5 linked regions of the Kluyveromyces lactis genome follow. The protein of the gene in region 3 binds, or shares a complex with, the protein of the main gene of each other region. Links are inferred from orthologs where the notes say so. Each region holds a gene or a part of one and is shown on either strand. Other genes may lie near its edges. The genes, in order: SME1, SMX2, SMD1, PRP6 and SMD2.

Evidence for each region.
Region 1: SMD1 (region 3) and SME1 share a complex: the UniProt entries of both Saccharomyces cerevisiae proteins name them as parts of the sm core complex. The link is inferred for Kluyveromyces lactis from reciprocal best matches to the Saccharomyces cerevisiae genes SMD1 and SME1.
Region 2: SMD1 (region 3) and SMX2 share a complex: the UniProt entries of both Saccharomyces cerevisiae proteins name them as parts of the sm core complex. The link is inferred for Kluyveromyces lactis from reciprocal best matches to the Saccharomyces cerevisiae genes SMD1 and SMX2.
Region 4: SMD1 (region 3) and PRP6 share a complex: the UniProt entries of both Saccharomyces cerevisiae proteins name them as parts of the U4/U6-U5 tri-snRNP complex. The link is inferred for Kluyveromyces lactis from reciprocal best matches to the Saccharomyces cerevisiae genes SMD1 and PRP6.
Region 5: SMD1 (region 3) and SMD2 share a complex: the UniProt entries of both Saccharomyces cerevisiae proteins name them as parts of the sm core complex. The link is inferred for Kluyveromyces lactis from reciprocal best matches to the Saccharomyces cerevisiae genes SMD1 and SMD2.

Annotation. Positions count from the first base shown.
Region 1 is NC_006037.1:204,458-208,839, reverse strand, and holds SME1 (mRNA splicing protein SME1), read left to right. Parts: upstream 1-3,545; coding exon 3,546-3,827; downstream 3,828-4,382. Other genes in the region: PNS1 (Pns1p), read left to right, coding at 1-167; mRNA transport regulator MTR10, read right to left, coding at 388-3,273; mitochondrial 37S ribosomal protein PET123, read right to left, coding at 4,108-4,382. UniProt on the Saccharomyces cerevisiae protein: Involved in pre-mRNA splicing. Binds and is required for the stability of snRNA U1, U2, U4 and U5 which contain a highly conserved structural motif called the Sm binding site. Involved in cap modification.
Region 2 is NC_006040.1:657,912-662,157, forward strand, and holds SMX2 (mRNA splicing protein SMX2), read left to right. Parts: upstream 1-2,225; coding exon 2,226-2,249; intron 2,250-2,327; coding exon 2,328-2,525; downstream 2,526-4,246. Other genes in the region: MDJ1 (Mdj1p), read left to right, coding at 268-1,683; GNA1 (glucosamine 6-phosphate N-acetyltransferase), read right to left, coding at 2,650-3,216; EMA19 (Ema19p), read right to left, coding at 3,232-3,744. UniProt on the Saccharomyces cerevisiae protein: Plays a role in pre-mRNA splicing as a core component of the spliceosomal U1, U2, U4 and U5 small nuclear ribonucleoproteins (snRNPs), the building blocks of the spliceosome.
Region 3 is NC_006040.1:319,439-323,840, forward strand, and holds SMD1 (mRNA splicing protein SMD1), read left to right. Parts: upstream 1-2,277; coding exon 2,278-2,703; downstream 2,704-4,402. Other genes in the region: UPF3 (Upf3p), read left to right, coding at 1-519; KLLA0_D03740g (uncharacterized protein), read left to right, coding at 761-1,093; KLLA0_D03751g (uncharacterized protein), read right to left, coding at 1,083-1,646; U4/U6-U5 snRNP complex subunit PRP38, read right to left, coding at 2,851-3,555; MRPL25 (mitochondrial 54S ribosomal protein mL59), read right to left, coding at 3,856-4,329. UniProt on the Saccharomyces cerevisiae protein: lays a role in pre-mRNA splicing as a core component of the spliceosomal U1, U2, U4 and U5 small nuclear ribonucleoproteins (snRNPs), the building blocks of the spliceosome. Also binds telomerase RNA and is required for its accumulation.
Region 4 is NC_006042.1:395,614-401,855, forward strand, and holds PRP6 (U4/U6-U5 snRNP complex subunit PRP6), read left to right. Parts: upstream 1-1,997; coding exon 1,998-4,655; downstream 4,656-6,242. Other genes in the region: PHO89 (Pho89p), read left to right, coding at 1-1,656; LYS14 (Lys14p), read left to right, coding at 5,060-6,242. UniProt on the Saccharomyces cerevisiae protein: Participates in pre-mRNA splicing. Part of the U4/U5/U6 tri-snRNP complex, one of the building blocks of the spliceosome.
Region 5 is NC_006040.1:780,344-784,849, reverse strand, and holds SMD2 (mRNA splicing protein SMD2), read right to left. Parts: upstream 1,995-4,506; coding exon 1,662-1,994; downstream 1-1,661. Other genes in the region: Ras family guanine nucleotide exchange factor CDC25, read right to left, coding at 1-998; MCM DNA helicase complex subunit MCM5, read right to left, coding at 2,337-4,506. UniProt on the Saccharomyces cerevisiae protein: Plays a role in pre-mRNA splicing as a core component of the spliceosomal U1, U2, U4 and U5 small nuclear ribonucleoproteins (snRNPs), the building blocks of the spliceosome.

The sequences.
Region 1 (4,382 bases), on a different chromosome or scaffold from region 3:
AAATTTGCAACGTGATTACAGAGACCATCAGATCCGGAACTGCTACCTTCTTCGTTGCATTGGGTAATGATCCGGAAGTTTTCCACCTATCTTACCCAGAAAGATTCGACGAAATCTTCAGGGCATATCCTGAAGTCTTAAAGAAACTTTCTCACCAGAACGTTTAAAACTTTTATTTTTTAAGTATGTCGCTGTTGCAGTTTCCCTATAACCTCTACTTTTATGACTAATAACTTTCAATTAATACTATTAATCAATTTGACAATACTTATATATTATTTACCGTTTCACTAATGAAATAAAAGGAATCAGACAAAGTTTCATCATGAATCATAAGCGAATATTGTGAATTAGATCTTATTTTTCAAAGCGTACTCTTTCCTGACTTTATGTGTACATTCTTGAAGAAATGTGTTTCCTTAAATACCAATCGATGAAATCCTTGATATTACCCCTGCAACGTCTATAATCCCTCTGTATTAATGCATTACCGATGCTCATTAGTTTGCTACGTTCGTTAGATTCAATAGTTCCCATTTTTCTCAAAGCAGAGTCTAACCATTCTAAGCAAACAGATGGATCATTGTTATTGTTTTCTGTAGCCAATCTGAATATTTTTACAATTAAACTGATAATTTCCTGGTGAGCTCTACTGTCAAAATTAGTCACAAGGCCATTAATTAATGCTGTAACTATGTTTGAGCCATTCTTAGAGACTACCTGTTCCAATATTGTACATCTCCAAGCGTCCGGTACTTCGGTTATTGACGTAACAGAGATAGGTGGAGTTTTGAACCCCCAAGATGATAAATCATCTAAAAATCTGATCAATGTCATATATGCTTCAAAATTGTCGAGTTTTGGAAGACTCTCTAAATCCCATTGTATTAGGGACGAAATAAGCACAGGAGTGTTCATCATATGTTCAGGGAAAAACATTAAAAGATCATTACACATAAGGAAGAAGTCGTGAACCATTTCAAAGAATTTGTCTAATGTTTGCATTGACTTAAAATTATTGAAGAATGTAGAACATTGCTGACAGGCAAATTGCCACACTGCCTCTTTGACCTGTACATCGACAGGATAATATTCATCGTCACCATAAACGTAAATAATTGAACCAGAGAACCACAAATACGCTCCTAGACCACTTGTTGAATAACCTTTAGCCACAAATTCTGAGACCGCCGGAAGTATTGGTTGTGTGAATAGGTGGTATTTTTCGAAAACACGACGGAAGAATTTCATTGTTCTATCGACAATGATAACATTAGAGATCGCATATGCGTCCAATAAGTTAATTAACTTTGTAATATGTTCGGAAATAGAGGCAATTAACGGTTCTTCAACACCTTGTTCTGGATACTCGAATTTGGGGACAATGTTCTCCAAAATTGCATAAAGCAAATCAATATAGTGTGCAACTTTTGCAGAAAGATCAGGATCAGATGGGTTCGAGATGAATTGCTGAATGATAATGTCAAACCTCTTATTATGTTGGGAGGTGAATGAATTGAATATGCCACCAATCTTCGCTGTTTCCTGCTCATTTATGACAGAACTTAAGCCTTGACACATCTCAAACATAGAGTAGTTGTCAACTGCGCGTTCAATTTTCCAAATAAAATCCACTAACTGGCCACAATAATTAACAAGAAGTGACGAGCAGTCCTGACAGAAATACATTAATGCATTGGAGGCAGCAACAGAGAGATCATGATTTGATTGGCCTGCTTCAAATCCATTGAATATATAATTCAATTGGATTTCCAGTAGATCCTCATGTTTACTGGTCCATTCTGTGTATCTCGAGAATACGAGTATTGTAGAATAAACCAATTTGGGGTGAGTTAGTGGATGTATGCATAGTTGTTTGAAAAGTTGGGGTAGCACAACGTTTTCAGTATGAGAAATTTCATGAGCCATTGTACGAACAGCAAACAAGGCAGCCTCTAGTGGTTGCCAGACCGTGTTAGGATCTTCTTTCTGAAGATATTGGTTGATAAGATTATATGGTTGCTGCAATGCAACGGTTGAACCTAAGACAGCAGCACAAGACTTAAGTACATCACCAATGTTATACCTAAAATCTTTAAATTTATCTTCATCTTCCTTATTTTCAAAAACAGTTTCCGGATAATGCAAATGTGTAATCAAACCATTCGTTAAATTAATAAATACATCCTGATATTCTTTTCTTTGTTGAGCGTAACGTTGTAAAACTAACATTTGCCTCAAATTAAACCAAAATGGGAAAGTATACGAAACGATATCGAGGTCAGTGTTCTTGCAAGTTAATACCAAGATGACTTCAACCAATGGTTTGAATAAGGCAGGATTCTTTGCAAGAAAAACACACCACGCTTCGCCAGCTTCAACGAATAAACGTGTGAGTGGATCCATAATCTCTTCGTATTCTTCCCAGTCAGAAATGGTTGTGATTGGCAATAGCTTTTGTTGCAAAGCTAAAAGTTGCTCGTAAAGCGCATGTATGATTGTATCGTTGGCTGCGTCTCTCGTTTCTCTTAATAACACACATAAGCATTCTACTGCAGCTTCAAAAGAATCAGAATCAGTATCATATGAAGTATGCAAGACTTGGAACACGGTGTTTATCAATGGAGTCACTTGTAATACCTGTTCTATTGGAAATTCATAACACCACGATCCAAAGCACGAAATGATTTTAGAAGCAGATATGCCTTCAGTTCCGACTCTATCCAAACATGAAATCAAAAATTTCAATACGTCTTCTCCAATGTTATCTATAAGTTCGTGTGTTCTACACTCAAATTCATCTTGGGATAGAGGAGTGGATTTGATATCCAATGTTTCCTCTGGGAGAATCTTCAAAAACAGTAGTAACTTTCCCGGAAGACCATTTAGAGTATTAATAATTTCAACTAGCGGATTCCTCCAATCAAGATACTGAATGGTAAATCGGGCTAGTGCCACGTTCAACTGTGTTACTATGATCTTCTCTTCATACATAGCGATGAACTCAAAGAGCTTTCCCTTGAAACTCTCTAATTCGGTATTGACCTGGTTTAGATCATAGGTGACTTTGTTCACTAGAGTTTGACAAGCAAACATTTGCAACTGTAAGTTGTCTGCTTCATGCTTGCTTAATACTTCGAAGCAGATTTGCCATGCTTCTATGCTCTTTTGAAATTGCTCCAAAAATTGTAAAGCTTGTATCTTCTTCTCCTGTTCAGAAACACTTTGAGTACAAATCAATGCACTCTTGATATCTGGGATTTGATACAACATCAATATTGATCAATCACGTCGTTCTTGCTCAACGGTATCTGCTGTGGCAGTTTTTATGAGTTCCTTTTATAGTGCATAAGTAAGATCAAATGTTTTGGTTGATTCAATATATAAAATTTTTTTAATATGTTAACAATAATCCTATTAAACTAATATCAAACGAATTCAACATGGCACTAGTGACTGACATTAATAAAGGATAACTGCGATCTGATTATAGTTACACTAACATCGACCTTCAATACACCGAAAGATTCTAGAAAAAGTCTAAAATGTCCGGCTCTAAAGTAGGAGCTCCTATGGTACCTCCAATCAATTGCATATACAACTACCTTCATCATCAGACAACAGTAACGTTTTGGTTATACGAACAAGTACAGACACGTATAAGAGGCAAGATCAGAGGCTTTGATGAGTTCATGAATGTGGTAATAGATGACGCTTTCGAAATAGCTGTAGATCCGAAAAGTGGTAAAGAGAGCGATGATAAAGCAGTGTTTCTTGGGAGAATTATGTTGAAAGGTGATAATATAACACTTGTTGTGGCAAATTGATAATGCCTACTCAGAAAATGATAATAGGATGAAAGAAAGATGCTTAGAGTGTAGAAGCATTGATCGGACTCTGTCGTGTAATTATATAAGCCTGTATATTATAACGGAAAAATGAAAGGCACTGAAATTTCGATAACGGCGACAAGCACTATCAAGGCTAATAAAGATATATTGTTCGTAATCTTATGGATCTATTTACAATGTGTTGCTCAGATTGGGGAGAATACCTTAAGTTCATATGGTTTCTTTTGTGTCAGTGATATTATCTAAAAGATATATCTCAAAGGACAGAGTCTTTACGTTCTTCCGCTTGTTTAGTTAATTCATCCAATTTGGTATTAATTTCCTGGTTAAATTGTTCCATCTCACCAGATAAAAATTCCTTCACAATTGGCAAACCTACGTATTTGCCGTTGCCCAAAGTACCAAATAATGCATCCGAAATTTCACCTTCGTTTCTTGCTGTTTGTTGAGAAGTCGACAAAGACAACTTATTTCTTAATACATCTTGGTTGTCCGAGGCGAATGCCTTTTCTACACTGGCCACCAGTTGTT
Region 2 (4,246 bases), about 340 kb from region 3:
AACATGTCAAGCAGAGGTTTCTCTAGAAAGGAAGCTTCAAAGTTTTTATAACATTGAAATCAGTCATGTCTCTTCTTTGATATAAATATACAAGCTAGCGTTCCACATTGATCAACCCTATTCGACTTACGGTGGCTCTAATCATTAGCTTTGTTTGAAAAAAGTACGCTGCCAGTCGCATTTAGAGAGAATTCGGACAAGGCGAGATTTAATAGGATCAAATACGTACTAGGGAGTTACAGAAAAAACTCATTTCCCCATATCCATATGTTTAAGAGATATTTATTACAATACCCACGTCAATTCCATACGGCAAGACTTCTAAGACAAGAGTTTAAGGATCCTTATAAGGTCCTTGGGATTAACAAGAACTCCAGTCAGTCCGACATTAAGAAAGCGTACTACAAGCTGGCCAAGAAGTATCATCCGGATATAAATAAGGAAGAAGACTCTCAGAAGAAGTTCCATGATTTGCAAAACGCGTATGAAATATTAAGCGATGAAGATAAGAGGAAACAGTATGATCAATTCGGTGCTGCTGCATTCAGCCAAGCTGGTGGTGCCGGTGGACCAGGCGGTGCCTATGGCGGTGCTGGTGCTGGTGGTGCACAAGGATTCGGAGGCTTTGGAGGGTTCGATTTCGGTGGATTGAACTTTGAAGATCTTTTCGGAAGTGCGTTTGGTGGTGGTGGTGGTGGTGGTGCCGGAGGCAGGAGAGCTGGTTCGCATGGAGCAGGATTTGGCGGTTCCGATTTTGTCCGTGAATATAAAGGTGAGAATGTCACTGTACCATTCCAAGTATCCTTCAAAGATGCCGTCTTCGGTGTGAAGAATGTCAAATTGAATTACCAATGCTACGATCCGTGTTCGTCATGTGATGGAAGTGGGTTGAAAGCTGGACATTCGAGAAGTGTTTGTCCTACATGTCATGGTACAGGTACTCAGGTACATGTAAGAGCAGGTTTCCAAATGGCCTCTACTTGTCAAACATGTGATGGTGAGGGTTCAACTATTAAGGACAGCGATAAATGTGGTACCTGTCATAGCCACGGTTTCAAATTGAATTCAAATAAAACTATCACCGTAGACTTACCTCACGGACTTCAGGACGGTGACACAATTAGAGTACCTAACCAAGGTAGTTACCCCGGTATGGCTATCGATCCGTCCATGAAATCTGAATTGCATTTAACCAGAGGCGATTTGTTGATTCGTGTCAGAGTCAGGAAAGACACAAGATTCCAAGTTTCAAATAATTACGACATCATTTACACTCAGGAAATCCCAATTACAACGGCAGCACTAGGTGGCGTCATTGAAGTACCCACCGTAGAGGAAGAAAAGATCAGATTGAAGGTCAGCTCTGGTACTCAACACGATCAAGTCATCAGAATTCCAAATAAGGGTGTCCCTCGTGGAGCTAGAGGTGACAGGGGTGACATGCTTGTCAAGTTCAAGATTGTTATCAAAAAACCAAAGGATGAAACAGAACGTTATCTATGGGAGACCTTGGCCCACTTGACCAATGATACCACTGCAAGAAGGACCATTACTCCCTCTGGATCGTCGGCTAAGGACAACTCTTCCTCTGCTGATAAAGACACAGTTGAAAACAATGAAGGAACCATCAAGAAATTGGAAAATTTCTTGTCTAACACTTTAAAGAAGATCAGAGGGGAATGAAATCCTTAAATCGCATATATGCTCTCCCGTCATACATTCCACCTTCATTCTTTCATAATTCTTTGATTGGATGAACTAATTACGACATTGGCATTCTCATTATTCATGTACCACTTACAGCAGTCATAGCCAGTAATTGCATATACTGCACATTATTTTATAAAACCCTTTAACATCATGTAAATACCAATTTCCCTATATATATATATAATTGCACTTAGCGCATAATACTTATCGTTTTGATATTCTCTTACTAGTTATCCCTACTTACCATATTTAGCTCGGGATTGAAATTCATGCCAATGACAACGAATGTTTTCAGTAAGGGTCGATATGCTTTAGTAACTTATTCTGACCATCGTTGTCTTCTTAACATTGTGACATTGAAAATTACTTTTGAATGGAAAAAGCATAATTATGTACAAAATTCATCAATTGAAATATACTGAAGATAAATTTCGAAGGACTTTTGCCAAGAGTTAAGAGACTATATCTACGACTTATCACTTCCGTACGACCCATTATAAACCATCCAATATTCCATGACATCTCCAGATTTGAGAAAAGTATGTTTACCCCTGTTTTCCAGGAAAAATCTTATCAGAATTTAAATTACTAACTATAATATGATTCGTTGCAAACAGTACATGGACAAGAAACTCATTCTACAGCTTAACGGCAATAGGAAAATTATTGGAATATTACGAGGATATGATGCATTTTTGAACTTAGTACTGGATAATCCAATACAGATTTTCGAAGAAGGAGAGGTCCAAATGGGACCCCAGACTGTTGTTAGAGGTAACTCCATTGTATCGATAGAACCTCTTGACAGTTTGTAAGAGCAGAAGGGAGACAAATACAACTCAATGTGTCGGAACACTTTACTTAGTGACATTTACGTACAATGAATTATGCTAGTAGAAAGGAAGGATAGATATGATAGAGCGCACACTGGTTACAACATCATTTGTCGAATCTGATTTGCATTTCGACACCAGCTTTTTTCAATCCACATTTCTCATAGAATCCAACATTACTTTCATCACAATCAAGAATAACTTTATAGCATCCATACTCGTTAGCTAATTTGTATAAATACTGAATTAATATCAATCCCAATTTCTTCCCCTGTTGATCTTTTCTCACTGCAATGTCTTCAATATGACCAACAAGCCCACATTCGTGAATAACTTTTTTCTCGACTAGCACGTTTCCTGTGGCGACAACTTCCCCATTTGTGTCAACGATCACAGTGCTATTGTACATAGGTATATCTCCTATCGTGACTGAATCCCAATGGTCTATTAGTGAATGGAATTGATCTTGGCTCACATCACCAACCATCGTTAGCACTTTCAGCACAGATGTAACCCCAGAAAAATCATCTTTCTTGGTTCTTCTAATTGTGTATCCTTCTGGTAATGACATGGTAAGAATTCCAATTAACGGCAGGATGATGGTAGAAATGAATGGTAATATCAATTGTTGATGTAACAAAGAGACTATAAAGGTTCTTTTATCATGGTTCATATTTAATCATTGTGCCTATACAAAGAATAATGCTGGAATTAGAACATAAGGAACGTAGACCATCGTTAGCGCCAGTTTGTCCGGGTTACTCAATGACACGTGATCGGTATTCATCGTGGCTGGATAGTACCCATAGGCCCAAACGTACCATATACAAAAACTAGTGGTGGTGATGACATTGAATGCATAGCATTTAGATAGACGGTCCACTGTGAATAAAGTTCTTTTGATAGTTTTTGACTTTGACAAGTTTAGCAGCTGGTATAAGCAATATATGGCCACAGGCAGTTGGAATAAAATTTCAATGATTGTCATATATTTGAGCCAGTTTGGAGGATTGGCAGTTAGAAAATCATTGAAATTATCAATATAACCATCTAGAAGTCCCTTAGTATATTGAAGATATGGAGGAAGTACTGCATTCGAATCCAAAAACGTAATGATTGGAATGTTAACTGCATACCAGATCTTCCATAGATTGATCTTCCATAGTTGAGTCTTTCTCGAATCACGTTGCTCTTTACTCATATTAGACCTTAGTTACCCTTTATATACCTTGGTCTCTTGAAGCGCTGGTTAGAGTCGGTAACACTACTCAAACCGATGAGGATTTTACTCAAGTTATATCGATTATTCTATCAGATGCTGAATTTAACGTCTTACTTGTTTATATTACCCGGATTTGGAGGGAATCTCATAGCAGCAACTAGACGAACGCCAAACCTGATACAAAGGTCGTGAATGGCTATACAACAAAGGGATTTATGAGAGATTCGTTATTAATTATTGTGGTACATAAGTGTCATATTAGGAACTAGATATTACTGAACACATAAGACGGCTAGAAGTAGATCTCCTTTCCAAACTTTGGTGTGAACTGGTGTTAGCTTGAAATGAATAAATGAAGTTTAGAATGATTCACCAGTAAAATCAGGGTTAACGGTTACAATTAGCAGCTGAAAGCAGATAATAAAAGAACATTTCGTGTAATTGCAGTTTCTGAAATTTGCAAAACCAAAATTATTACATT
Region 3 (4,402 bases):
AAGGATAAATCAGAAGTTGAGAAGCCCAAAAAGTCTAAATCCAAACACAAATCCAAATCCAAATCTAAACCTAAATCGAAATCTGAACCGAAATCATCGAAATTTGACACTGCGACAACTGAGAAGAGTGCGGTAACATCCGAAGAAAAGCCAAAGAAGAAGATTTTGTTGAAACCAAAGAAAGATGATGTTCCCAAACCAGAGATGCCTGCAGATTCGGAGGTAACGAAGAGAGCAAGACGTAAAAAATCAAAGAAACATAAAGACAAAGACAAGGATGTAAAGAAGGATTTAACAAGCAAAGAAACAAAGGAAACTCCCTCTAAAGTTACTCCTAAGGTAAAAATAAAGTCTAAATCTGCCAATGTGGAGGAAATGAAATCGGAGAAGCGTAAGCAGGAAAACACTAAGCCAGAAAAAAATCCATCAAGTGAATCAGATAAGAAAGCTAAATCAAAGAGAAAAAGTAGAAAAGGAAGGCAGTCTGATGGACCTAAACACAAAGACAAACCAACTTAATATGCAGACATCGCACCAATGGATGGCATCTCGATATTTTGGCTTAGTTCTCTTTTACGTGCCCTTTCATTTATTCAAATGTGCAGAATATTATTTCTGATCTCTGACACTTGATATTTAAAGGGAGTGTGACAGGACTTTTTAATATTAGCAGCTTTGTGGACTAACAACAAATTCATTTTGCAAACTCAACTAAGGATTATTACACACGCATATCACTCGCCATAATTTTCATCGATCGATGGTGAATATTAGAACTACAGAATTAGAAGGAGATTTAGCACAGTTGACCTATGAACTTGGGTTGAAGGATAAGGAAGTCATGACTTTAAAGCAAAGTCTGGAACGCCTCAATGCTGAAGTCGAGAAGCTAAGAAACGAGAACAGAGGCTTGAAAAGCGAATTGGAACATTGGAATAAACTACCGATGAGTCCAATATCTTTGTCTTCAGAAAACGATCAAACTGAGGACGATAAAAACCGAATGATTCAAGAGAATTTGCGGAGAGAGATTCTTTCCTTGAAGAATGAAAGTAATATTTTATCAGAATGGATCAAGACCCTTATTTCTTGAATTTCTTCAAATAAATATTCTGAGCCGTACCCAGAATTGCGTATGCCAAACTAAAAAATACGGACCATTTATCTGGTGAAATGTATCTTTGAGCAATTGACATCAATACCGTTGATGTTGCCAAGCTGGAAGACAACATTGCCGCATATCTTGTCTTGATTGCGTGTATAATTTTTGTTTTGTCAACCTTACCGTTGTTAACAGAAGTCAAGGTAAATAGTAACCCTAACACTTGAATAGGCGATACCATGCCTAATGAGCAGCCTAACTGGACCAAGCTTCTATATTTGGATACCACTTTCCTAATTGTGTATTCGTTTATCCATTTGTAACTGAAATGATTAACTGGTGCGTTAAATAGACCACCATATAGACTCATCAATGCCACTTTGATCCAATTTAGCTTCTCTTTTCTTTCCTCTGGAGACAGACTAACCCATTGACTGAACAGTTCGCTTAACCCAGTTAATACCGCGCCTGTTATGCATTTAGTTAATAACGGGTTACGTTTGAGTAAAATATTATATCTCTTCAAGATTACTGATGACGACATGTTTACTCTTGGCGTTAATCTTTAATACTCCCAATCTCTCGATGCGAGCAGCAGTAACCTTGAAAGCTTGCGATCCATGAGATATGAAAAGAGTAATATCTGACTTTAACATCTATATATATATATATATATATATATCCAGATTTTATCAAAGCAATGACTGACAGAACGTTTTGTTATCGCTTGCATGGATAGTTTCTTATCGCACTTCTCCGTGTATCTGTTAACCATTTAACATGAGATGCAACGGATCTAAATACTTTTTGGGTTCCATGTAAGATTCGAACACATGCTCGCTCGAATGTAAGAAACCATTGGAATCTCACGCAAATGAGTTACCCTGTTAAGGCACGTGATAATATGAAATTTCCACTCTTTTCCAGGAAAGAACGACCCCATTGATTCTTGAGTATCAATTTGAACCATTTCATCCATCATTATGTAGAATATGTCAATTGAGTAACTACGATCAAATCCTGATCTTTTATCAAAATCAGGAAGTTGCTTGTGGATCATCTGTTACTTTTGCAAAATTCAAAACTCTTTTTCATCAAAACCATTTGAAACTGGTAACAGCTTTCTGGTGTATCTTTAGTCCGATTGAAACAACGAAGTTTTATATACAGACAAAATGCAGTTAACAGGGTTCTTAAAGAAACTAAAGAATGAAAGGGTGTCTATAGAGTTGAAGAATGGTACCACTGTTTGGGGAATAGTGAGGAGTGTGTCACCGCAGATGAACGTCTCTCTTACTGACGTCAGGCTGACACTCCCTACTAAGACCTCAGAAGCTACCTTGGCTGCCGTCTTATTGTCAGGTGGATCGACACAAGGACAAGAATCTAAGAGAACAACTAGCCTCGAGTTCATCAACATTAGGGGTAATACGATAAGGCAGATTATTTTACCAGATAGTATCAATTTGGATGCGTTGCTTGTAGACCAACAGGAAGTCAACAGGTTGAGGAAACAAGGTAAAGTGGGAAGTGATCCGAATAAGAAGAGATCACTTGAGAGTAACGGGAATGCTCCTAAACGTCCAAAGAGGGCATTTTAATATACATCAGAAAACATATGTGGAAATAAATATGTAGTGATGTTATGGACTTTGTTTTGATGAATGATTAAACACTATTGATAATTATCTTTCATAATGAATAGCCGTTCTTTCCAGTCGATGCCTCCAAAAAAAGAAAGAATGGAATCAAATTTGATCACTGTCATCTCTTGGATCAGAGCTGGAGTCCGAGTCGCTTGAGCTCTCATCGTCCTCTTCATCGTCCCATATTTTACACCAATTGCATTTTCCTAAGGGGATGCCCCAAATTTCATTCCTGTCGCATAACCAGTCTATCAACTCATCGAAATGTATCAATTTAATCTCTTTTTTAATCGATGATGACCAACAATCCATATCTAACGAGTAACTTTTTAATTTTCTATGATCAAGTATATATTTCTTCATTAAATCATGTAATAAATTGAACGATATATCTTGCTCGGAAGGATTACTCTCAGTTAAGAAATAATACGAGATTCTCATATAACATAATACCAGTGCTGCAATATACTTGTTGTTTAAGGGTTCATGCGGTTCTAGTAATACTTTTAGTTGTTCCCACGGAGGTCGCAGGTTGATCAATTTCATCAATAGACATTTGAACTCTATACCACCTAAGACAGTCACATGCGGGGTTTTCCGCTCATCCATAGTCCCGAAATCTCTCACAATAACAGGTATAAGTTCGACAATGGTATCTCCCCTCAAACTTGCGGGCGTTAAATTAAATTTATAATACATGCATGACGATACCTTATTTCTAAATATTTGAGGAACTACCAAAGACGCTGATTGGTGATTCAATTGCTTTCCAGACAAGTTCTCCTCCACGTAGAATTCGTTAGGCATTGTGTGTGTTATGAATAATACTAAACTGTGTCGAAGACAGTAGCAGCTGAGCTCTTTTGTTCTTTATATTTGATATCTGCCCTCTATCAAATTGGTTTCTCATTCATAATGATTTATAGTTCTTGGTGATATATATAATATTTATATATATTTGCAGAGCAATTTGATCTAGATAAGCAATATACATGCATGGTGACTAAATATTTACAGGTGAAAAGAACAACCCATGTTGGTCTTAGGTGTGTTTAGGATATGCGTGATGGGGCCAGAGGTAAGGGGGGAGTGAACCTATCAGCACCATTAGAACCAACTTCTGGTATTTTGGTTTTGTTTCTTTTCTAATCTTCTTTTGTACTTGGAACCCTTTGCTTCGAGAATGTATTTATCGGCATTCTTAATAGCCTCCTCCATCTTGGCTACTTTTCCTTCTAGTAGACGTTCGTGCTTGTGACCTTTCGGCATCAATACACCCTTCATAAACTTCTTGTTTTCATATTTCTCTTCAAAGAATAATTTCTTCGATGGTGGTAACAGATCTTGAATCCCATAACTGTACGCCAGCTTGTATAGATCACTCATCCTTCTCAAAGAGTACTTAGGTTCATGGTATTTTCCCGTTGCAGGATTCTTATTTGGAAGAAATGGATTGGCATCCATGGCTGTAATCAACGTTGGCTTATCACTATACTTAACATTTGGTGGATATTTCTTGAAAAAATTCTTCAACTGAACAGGTAGCAGTTCAAAATAGTGTTTCATGCTAGCTCCTGACATAGTGTACTTCCCTTAATCGAGCTTCCAGACTCAAATGGTGGTGCAAGAAGTTTTAAGTGCAGTCCAAATCAGT
Region 4 (6,242 bases), on a different chromosome or scaffold from region 3:
TTTGCTTCCTCTATTTCATCTAGATCCTTGAAATACTGGCAGGCTATGATCCTTGCTGCTTTATGTGAATTTTTGGGGGCTGTCTTAGCGGGTGCTAGAGTCTCTGGTACCATCAAGAACAATATTATTTCTGCTTCACCTTTCGAAGATGATCCAGCTGTGTTAATGTTAACTATGGCATGTGCTCTTGTCGGTTCTGCCACTTGGCTTTCAATTGCGACATCTATTGGTATGCCAGTGTCATCGACTCATTCTATCGTTGGTGGTACCATCGGTGCCGGTATTGCTGCCGGTGGTGCCAAGGGTGTCCAATGGGGTTGGGGTGGTGTTTCTCAAATTATTGCTTCTTGGTTTATTGCTCCAATCTTAGCCGGTTGCTTGGTCACTATTATTTTCTTGATCTCCAAGTTCCTGGTCTTGGATGTTAAGCCAATTGAAAAAGCTATTAAGAACGCTTTACTACTCGTCGGATTTTTGGTGTTCGCTACCTTCTCGGTGTTGACTATGTTGATCGTTTGGAAGGGTTCTCCAAACTTGAAGTTGGATAAATTGTCTGGCACAACTACCGCATTGGCTATTGTTCTTACTGGTCTAGTCGCTTGTGCTGTTTACTTCATCTTCTTGTACCCATACTACAGAAGAAGAATCTTGCACAGAGACTGGACCCTAAAATGGTATGATATTTACAGAGGCCCAACTTTCTACTTCAAGTCCACTGACGACATTCCACCTCTACCTGCTGGACAATCTTTAACCATTGATTACTACGAAGGTAGAAGATTCGAAGATGAAACTGCCGGAGATGATGAAACCCAAATTGAAACTTCCCACACCGCCGATGGAAGAGATACTGTAGAGGGACATATTGAAATTAACGACAAGGAATCTGTCAACCAAAGTATCAAATTGGTGCAAACAGAAACTTTGCAAGAAGAAAAACCAACTACCAAACAGCTATGGTGGTCATTGCTAAAACAAGGACCAAAGAAGTGGCCTCTATTACTTTGGTTGATTGCTTCTCACGGTTGGACTCAAGATGTTATTCATTCTCAGGTCTACGATACAGGTGCTTTGTCAACAGATTTCAAGGACATGTACAAGAGATCTGCCTTCTATGACAACAGAATCGAATTCATCTATTCTATCTTGCAAGCTATTACCGCCGCCACTATGTCTTTTGCTCACGGTGCCAATGATGTTGCCAACGCCACTGCACCACTAGCTGCCGTGTATGACATCTGGCAGAAAAACACTGTGGAATCTAAGTCTGACGTTCACACATGGGTTTTAGCATACTGTGCCGCTGCATTGGTCCTCGGTTGTTGGACATACGGTTACAGAATCATCAAGAACTTGGGTAACAAGATGATTTTGCAATCTCCATCCAGAGGGTTCTCCGTTGAACTTGGTGCTGCTGTTACCACTGTTATGGCAACACAATTAAGTATTCCTGTTTCTACTACTCAAGTTGCTGTCGGTGGTATTGTGGCCGTTGGTCTTTGTAACAGGGATTTGAAATCCGTTAACTGGAGAATGGTCGCTTTCTGTTACAGTGGTTGGTTCTTAACTCTTCCAATGGCTGGTCTCATTGCAGGTATCTTGAACGGTATCATCTTGAACGCACCACGTTACGGTGGAGATTACCAATTATCATAATCATCAGATTGATATTTTCTTTCTCATGGCCTCAGCGCCTTTTAGGAACTTTCATTAATTAATTGTTTGTGCACTAGCTAGATAATAGTTTATCTGCTACAAATATAGAACATATTCGGTATTATAGATTCTGCAAATTTCCTCATATATTAGCCTGCATATTTAATTCTTTCTAAGCAGAATCGATATTTATTTCTATCAACGCTTATTCTCTATTGTTTTAAGAATCTGTAGAATATCTTTAAAAACAAAACCTTTAAAATTTGTATCGAAAGGACATCTCATACAGTAAACTATTCACTAGTAAATCATCTGAGTAAACAACTATCACGGTGATAGGCATGGAGACTCCCAGTTTCCTAAAACAATCTCCACCACCTGGTTACATCGCTGGTATAGGTCGTGGAGCGGTTGGCTTTTCCACCAGAGGAAGTAAAGATGATAAAAGAGTTCCTGCTAGATTGAATAGATATGGGCGAGATGCACCAGATACTTCTGTAACAAAGAATCCAAATAGATACAGATCAGCAGTTTCGAATGAATCATCGGAGAAACAGGTTAAAGATGAAGACGAACAAGAGATGAGAGTGTACGAAAAGATCGAACAGCGACTTAAGAATAAAAAAATTATCGACAATGAAACAAGCCTAAAGACGAAGCCAGATGATGAACCAGACAAGCTATCTTCTAAATTTGTAGATTTGAAGCGTAATTTAGCAACTCTTTCTGAGCAAGACTGGCTGGATATCCCTGACGCATCTGATATGACCAGACGAAACAAAAGGAATCGAATAGAGGAACAACTTGAAAGGAAAACATTCGCTGCTCCTGACACTTTGTTCCAGGTTAATGTCAACTTATCCAAGTTAACTGAAGAGAGGGAAAAGTTACTTGCTGTCCAGATAGATAAGAGTTTTGATTACAGCAAAAGTCAACTTACGGATGATGCTGAATACTTGAATAGAATGAACCAAGATGACAACACTATTTCATCTACGGATTTGGAAGACATTAGGAAAAACAGATCCCTATTAGCCGCGTATCGTAAATCCCATCCAAGAAATCCAGAAAACTGGATTTCTTCAGCAAGAATCGAAGAAAGAGCCAATCAGTTCAATCGAGCCAAAAGTTTGCTAGCGGAAGGTTGTAAACTGTGCCCTAAAAGTGAAGCTATCTGGTTAGAATCGATACGCATGAACGCATCCGATAAAGAATATTGCAAGAGGTTGGTTACAGTTGCCTTAAGGCTCAACGAGTTTAGTGAGCAGTTGTGGTTGAAGGCAATCGCCCTCGAACAACACAATACTGATAAAATTAAAGTCACTCGAAAGGCTCTAATTAAACTACCACTAAGCTCTATATTATGGGAAGTGGCGGTAAATCTTGAAACTTCCACTCTTGAAAAGCTGAAAATTTTGAAGAAAGCAGTTGAATTAGTGCCGAAGGATTCGCAGTTATGGTTGAAGTTGATAAGGTTACAATCAGTCGAATCTGCAGTGGACACCTTGAAATCTGCTGAAGAACATATTAAAAAAGACATCACATACTGGCTTCTCAAATGTCAACTCGAAGAAAAAAGAACGACCGCAAATCTCGATACGTTGGTAAATATCATTTCTAGCGCAATAAAGGATCTTCATGAACTGGAAGTTAATCCAACTATTACTGAGTGGTTCGAAAATGCAGTCGCTATATCAACAGAAGGATTGTATCCATTAACAGCGAAAGCAATCATCACAGCTACCATCAATAACTTATTTGAAGACGCATCCTCAAATTTCCAAAGTCTCTCGAAGCTGTTGGTAAACGACACCACACTTCAGTGTACCTTGTTTTCCTCCTTCCTAATCAAATATCCAACAAAGTACTCTATTTGGAAGGAGTTCACCAATTTCGCCGAAGACTTTTCGCGGAAATTAGAGCTACACGAAACATTCAGGAAGATCCTCTTTACAGATTCTCAAGCGGTAAAGAAATACCCTGTCTTGGTTTTAATGTATGCGAAAGACGTTTGGGATTGGGGTTCTGGTTCCACTGAAGCGTTGTCGATTTTAGATAAAGCTCTGGTGACAAATTCGGCGTATCCTGAGTTTTGGTTGGCTAAACTCAAAATTTTGAACAGAGATGGCAAATTGGATGAGATTATAAATTCCTTTGAAGAAGCCGAATCACACTTGGTAGAATGCATTGATAAATTAGTTCCTTTTTACGTTAAGTGTTTGCAATCTAAAGGCAGTTTGGAAATAGCTCATTCTACTGTTGATATAGCTTTGGCACGTGAACCAAACGACAAACATTTACTAATCTTGAAAGCACAGCTATACAGGCAACAAAGGGACCTTTCATCAGCGAAGCGTGTGCTACAGAGGGCTACGGATATTTCTAATCATGATCCAGAAGTGTGCTTGGAGTTCTCCAGACTGGTAATGGAAACACAAGATTGGGGCAAAGCGCGTTCAATACTCAGCGTTTCTCTACTAAAGAATCCAAAATCCGATACACTCTACGAGGCTCTCATTACATTGGAACTGCAAGTGAAAGATAACAAACAAGTAACGTACCTCATCGCTCAGGGTCTCAAAGCGTGTCCACACAGCTGGAGGCTCTGGTGTCTAAACATCAGAACCCTTCCTAAAAAATCACTACGTAAAACCACATTCCAAGATGCTCTCGAAGCTACAAAAGAGCATCCAATGGTGATAACTGAGATCGGAAAAGTGTTCCAAAAGGAACACCAATACGCGAAGGCATATAAATGGTTCATAAGAGCCTCGGAAAATAATCTTCAATTTGGGGACCCATGGGTATGGCTCTACATCTGCGAGTCGTGCATGAATCCAGTTGATTTGCAAATAAATGAAGAAAAAACGTTAAAGAAATTGAAAGAAAATGAACCCAGGTACGGTATACTATGGGAGCCCGCAGTAAACTCATACCTACACATATCAAACTCTCCGATTGATATTTTGCACAGCATTATCAACAATTTACACCAATAATTAGATAGAATGTAAGATTGTAAGATTGTAATAATAAAAATTGGGACAACACTGATGCGACTGTAAATTGACTTTCCGCATTGTCAGAAGTTCCGTTCCTCAATCGTAACTAACCCAGTATATGCGGCAGTTCTGTGTATTTTTCCGTTGTGATCTGATTCTCTGCTATGAAAGAGTCAGCTCTTATATCTATCAAAGAGAACTTTTTCCAGTGGAATTTGAAAATTTGAAAACGAACAACCAAAATGGAACTTCGAAATTGCGAAGAGTATTGGTAGTCGACAGGGATCGGAGGTGAAGTGAAAAACATCGATAGCAGCTGTTGAGAGTCTTAAATACCCGCCGAGGTCCACGTCATTTTTACCAGGGAAGTTATATATATATACTGATAGGTCAGAAAAAGTATGTCGTTCGGCAAGGGACGCAATGAGAGTTTGGATTGTCTCACTCCAGCATCGTATGTGTCTCAAGGTGCGGCACCTGAGGCACCAGCACCGACCCAAAGTGTCAGGGCAAGCCAGCCGCCACTATTCCCAGCTAGTAGCAGACATATTCTGTCTCCTTCGACGTTACTAGCGCATCCAAGTCCGCATTCAGTGCCCAGTACTGCTACTCTGCTTGGACTTTCCTCTGAACACGTAATCACTAGTCCTCAGTCGGTTCAGTTGAAAAATACACCTACTTCTATCGGACCAAGTCCAAGAGATGTGCTAGTTACCAATCTATCGCCGATCTCTGATATTTTACAAGGTGATCGTTCATCTATGTCACCTGCATCTGGAATCTCTTCCGTAGATGCATCGGGTGCAACACCCTCGACAGATGCAGATGGGAAAATCGTCAAGCGTAAGTATTCTAGAAATGGTTGTTTGGAGTGTAAGAAAAGACGGATGAAATGTGACGAGGGCAAACCGACCTGTTGGCAATGTGCCAGGTTGAATAGAAAGTGTGTGTATATATTGAATCCAAAGAATAAGAAACGGAAACCCAGAAAACCCAAGTCTGCAGGGGCATGCGCTACATGTACTGAAGATGGTGATGAGAAGGGAAAGGTTAAGAATGATGCAACGATGAAGAGTGAAACAAATTTCTCACTGAATAGCCATGTTAATGATTCTTTGGTAAATTCAGGATTGCCAAACCTCATACCTGCAGGTAGCATTAACGCTATGGATGCCAATCTTTTGATTCAGAATCTCAACGACATTGTTAGTATGAAGTTGAATGACTCTTTGGTTAGCGATGAATTAAAGGATCTTGAGTTTAACGACTTAGATCTGCCAGATCTGAACTTTCCAATGCTTAACACTGCTTCGGAGTTTTCATCAGTTCCAATCTCCTTTTTGGTCGATAATACAATCACTTTCAACACATCTCTAGAATCATTCAAGCTAGGTGGTCTGCATGATAAATATCTGCGAACCTTTTACCATGACTGTTTGGATTCCATCACACCTTTCTTTCAAGACCAAAATAATCCACTTAGAGATATATTACTGTCATTCGGCAGGAACGAACCATATCTTCTCTCGGCGATTTTAGCTGTGGGCGCCTCTATTGTTCATCGTAAATCAAACAAAATGGAGG
Region 5 (4,506 bases), about 460 kb from region 3:
GGGAAAACAGATTTTAAGCTTAGTTCAGGTGTCCTTGATATAGGTAAAGATGTACAATAAATGTTCATTTCTTTATTGAAGTATAATAAATTATTGCTTGTAGTCAAAACCGGGGTCCATACCGGCACAACCTCTTGTCTTGACATGTTATTTAAGAGCATTTCAACTTCTTTAGTAGAAAGAATGTTGATTTCTGACTCATGAAGAGTATGTGGGGACCGTATTGACGATACAGAATGTTTACTGTATGAATGATCTGAGTTACGGGATTCTGAATGAGACCGCGCTTTGGATAAAGATTCAGATGAACGACAGTAAGAGTTTCGAGAACTGCTAGTTGATGCACTTCTTGATTTGGAGGTTGCATTTGGTTTGCTCCTTGAGTGAGAGAAGGATCTGCGATTCATATCGAATTGGTAATCCTGTTTCAAATGCGATGACGGGCTAGAATTATTGACACTACTTGCAGAATTTGAAGGAGACGTCGACAGTAGCGTTTGCCCACTATTTATTGCATTATCATGATTATCGTGGAAAGTAGTCGTACCAAGACTTTTCCTTCTAAAGTTCCCGGTACTCACCAAAGATCCCCTTCTTGACCCAGACGTAGAACGAATATTCATATTCCCAGATGGGCTGCCTATCCTCAAACTGTTCCTCCGTGACCCATGGCTACTAGGCCTATTATTAAAAGCATTGCTGCCATGGTAATTCAGAGGAAATATCTTCCGACTTGAACTGGTATCCTTTATTGATTTAGTATAACTTCTGGGGAACCAGCCCCTCAAAACCAAGCTCTTATTATAATATAAAATACCGTCCCACCAACCTGAGTCACTCTTCGATATAACGTAGATAATATCACCGGCAAAAAACCGTAATTGAGATTTCCTTAGCGGATTAAAGTCATACTGCGCTATCACTATGTCCAAAGGTTTTATAATTGTAGACAATCCAGCTTTTGGAGGATTCATTCCCTCGTCCTGTGGCCTTTCCATTGTCAGTTGTGAAAGCTATAGAATAAAAGCACACTTCACACGCCTCTTTTTAATATATAACTCTTTGACAATAGTACCTAACGTTGTCCTGTGATTGTTTTGATGTATTTCAGTTAGGTTTTGCGCTTTGACTTATCCCTGTGATATAAAAGAGCGATTTGACTAGTTTTTTAAAAGAGTTCATGAAAGTGAAAAATAAAAAAAAAAAAAAAAAATATGAAGAAATATCATTCGTGAAATATCCAAACTGAGTATTCGTTACGTTAAAACGGCAAAAATAGTGATTAGCAGTATACTGAATTTGGTAAGGCAACCCCTTAGCTGTAAAATAAGGGATGTATTGGGTTGTATGGTTTGAGCCGTATTATGTATTGATATCTAGTTCTATAGAGGATTAAACGGTTCTTTTGAGCTTGAATTACGTATTTTGAGTATGCGCCGTTTGGAATTCGACATATAAAAACTAGGGAGAATCCGGGCACAGATCAGAAAGTTACATTGGTTCAATGCGGTAAAGGCTTCACAGAAGATTAATGCATCTTTGTCCTGATATTTGATCAGATTATTAGCTCTATAACCCTTTTACTTGATGCTTTCAGTGGCAGCGAACATATCAGTACACGTGACTTCAGAAAGGATGTTGATGGGATGATAAAAACAGGTTCATGTCTTTACCACTATAATCACTGAGTCCCCTCTAAGAAAGAGTTTCGCTACGAATCGCTCTCTGTTAACCTTCTTACCATTTACATTCTCTGTCCATATTTCTTTAACGTTTTCCAGAACCATGTTACAGTGCTTGTCAAAAGATTTCACACGAGCTATGAGTTTATGATTGTTCCTTAGTGATATTATAACAGGTGTCCTCTGTAGCATTGATTCCCTGATTAGAGACATGGGTCCATATTTCATTTCGAATTCTTCTAGTTGTGTTAGCTCGTCTCTAGATAGTTCAGACCTTGAAAGGTCTGTCTTTGGAATATATGTATCGGCCATCGTGTTTTAGGTCAATTTTCTAGTATATGTAACAGACAAATCCTGAAGATAAGTCCTTGGCTTATGATATTTGCAATCTCGTAAGTTTGTGATAACTTGTCCTGATTGCCATATGATATGAGAGGTTCCTTCTTTGGTCATCTCATCATCTCATCCTGTGCATCAAACCCAATATACCATCCAGTTGTTTTCTTTCGGATTATCCAATTATCATTATCATTATCCGGGTAATCTTACACTATATAAATATCAACACATAGTCGCTGAAATTCCTTATACACAGTGGTACATATGAGTTATAGACAATGTTCAAGGAGGGGTTCCTGAATTTCATTTGCAACTTCATACTCCACTTCTATAAATATTCTGACCTTGATGTCTTAGTTGAATAGAATCATGTCTTTCTAACAGGTATAACGCCTTATCTAGCGCATATTGGGGAAGTTTCTTGTTCACAACGAATTCCCTTTGCAAAGTTTTGTAACTTGTAGACCATCCTATTGGCAACCTTCTTTTCAATTCAGATTCGATTCTTCTAATTTGTGAGAGCATTGTTGTATCATTTTCCTGGGAGTTGATAGGATCCTGAGAGGCAGCATCCATCGTAGAAGCTTGGAATAATCTAATGGCTTCATCAACATGTTTTTCGGTCGCTACTGGATTCAGTTCTAATTTAGCTAAAGATTCTGTGATACGAATTATGGCTTCTAATTGACGAACTGTGATTGGAATGGAAGACCTCTCATTGGAATGTCTTTCGGACTCTTGTAATTGTTTTCTAATAGTGATGAAATGAGAAGATAATTTTGTGGCTGCTTCAGGAGATAACCTGGGGGCACATTTTAACCTACAGTAACTAACATATCTCTTCATAGTTTCTATTGGAATTTCGTTGTTGGAGTTGGAATTATCATTTGGATCGTTTTGTTGAGTTCTTCCTGTGTGAATGTTCATGACGTGGTTCGCAATTTGGATATCTCTAGCTTCATTGTGATCATCTTTAACAATGAAGATCATATCGAATCTGGACAAGATGGTAGTTTGGAAATCAATGTTTTCACCCGGTGATTTCAAATCATCATATCTACCGTAAACAGGGTTTGCTGCAGCTAAGACACTAGTTCTAGAATTCAAAACGGTAGTGATACCGGCTTTAGCAATGGAAATAGTTTGTTGTTCCATGGCTTCATGGATGGCAACACGGTCCTCGTCTCTCATCTTGTCAAATTCGTCAATACAGACAACACCACCATCAGCAAGCACCATTGCACCTCCTTCTAGGTAAAATTCCCGTGTAGTTGGATCTCTTTGGACACTTGCCGTCAAACCAGCTGCAGAAGAACCTTTACCAGATGTATATACCGAAATCGGAGAAACTTTTTCCACAAATTTCAACAGTTGGGATTTTGCAGTACCAGGATCACCAAGCAGTAGCACGTTGATATCACCTCTTAGTCTCATACCATCTGGTAACAATTTCTTCGATCCGCCCATAAGGAGACAAACGATGGCTTTCTTGATATCAGTGTTACCATAGATACTGGGAGCAATTGAGTTGGCGAAAAGTTCATATAGATCTGGTCGTTGGGAAAGCTCCAAAAATTCTTGTTCTTCACTTTCCGAAAACATAGATAGAGAATTGTTTAACGGATTATTTGATAGGTGTTTGATCCCGATAACTTTCACGTAAGGGTTTCTGATCGCCACAGCTTTATTTCCAGAACTATTAATACTCTTATTCTTGGATTGGTAGATGGAATAAATACCAATAATGGTAACTCTTGTTCCTGGAACAACTTGGTTGGTCAAATATCTATCACATGTCATTAGTAAATTTCTAGGCAATTCACCAATTGGCACGGATTCCGGTAATTCTTGTAGTTTCAAAAACTGTTGGTCAATAAACTGTGACGATTCGTGTACGATTAAATATGGGTCAGGGCCACAAGAAGCTGCTGTTTCATCTGTTTCGTTGGAACGATCTGCAAGACACTCACGAGGTAACTGGACGTTATTGTTATTCAAATTCTGGAAATTGTTCAACTTCAAAGTTGTCATATGTTTACAGCTTCTACACATTAGCGATAACTGAGTGGCTCTTGATGTCAAGACACTGGATGAGATGATGATCCCTGTAATTCTGACGATCTTAGAAACGTGATCCGAATCCAAACTTCTTAATGGAATTTCCATAGAACTGGAATTTAAAATGAGCTGACATAGTGGGAAGTTCGACAACGCTGTCTCTGGATCAATATCAGAATCTTGCGATAACAAAACAATTCTCTTTGCCACTTGAGTTATTGCTTGTTCGAACAACGGGATAATATCTATCGGTTCATCCTGTAATTTTTTGTATAGATCTTCATTATATCCAATAAGATGCTCCGTATTCACGTCAAGGAAGTATTTATGAACCAACAGGTTATTTCTCAGTTGTTCTCTGTAAACGAAGTTGGAATCTAGTCTGAATTCCAGTATGAAACTCTTAAAAGATTTGATAATCTCTGAA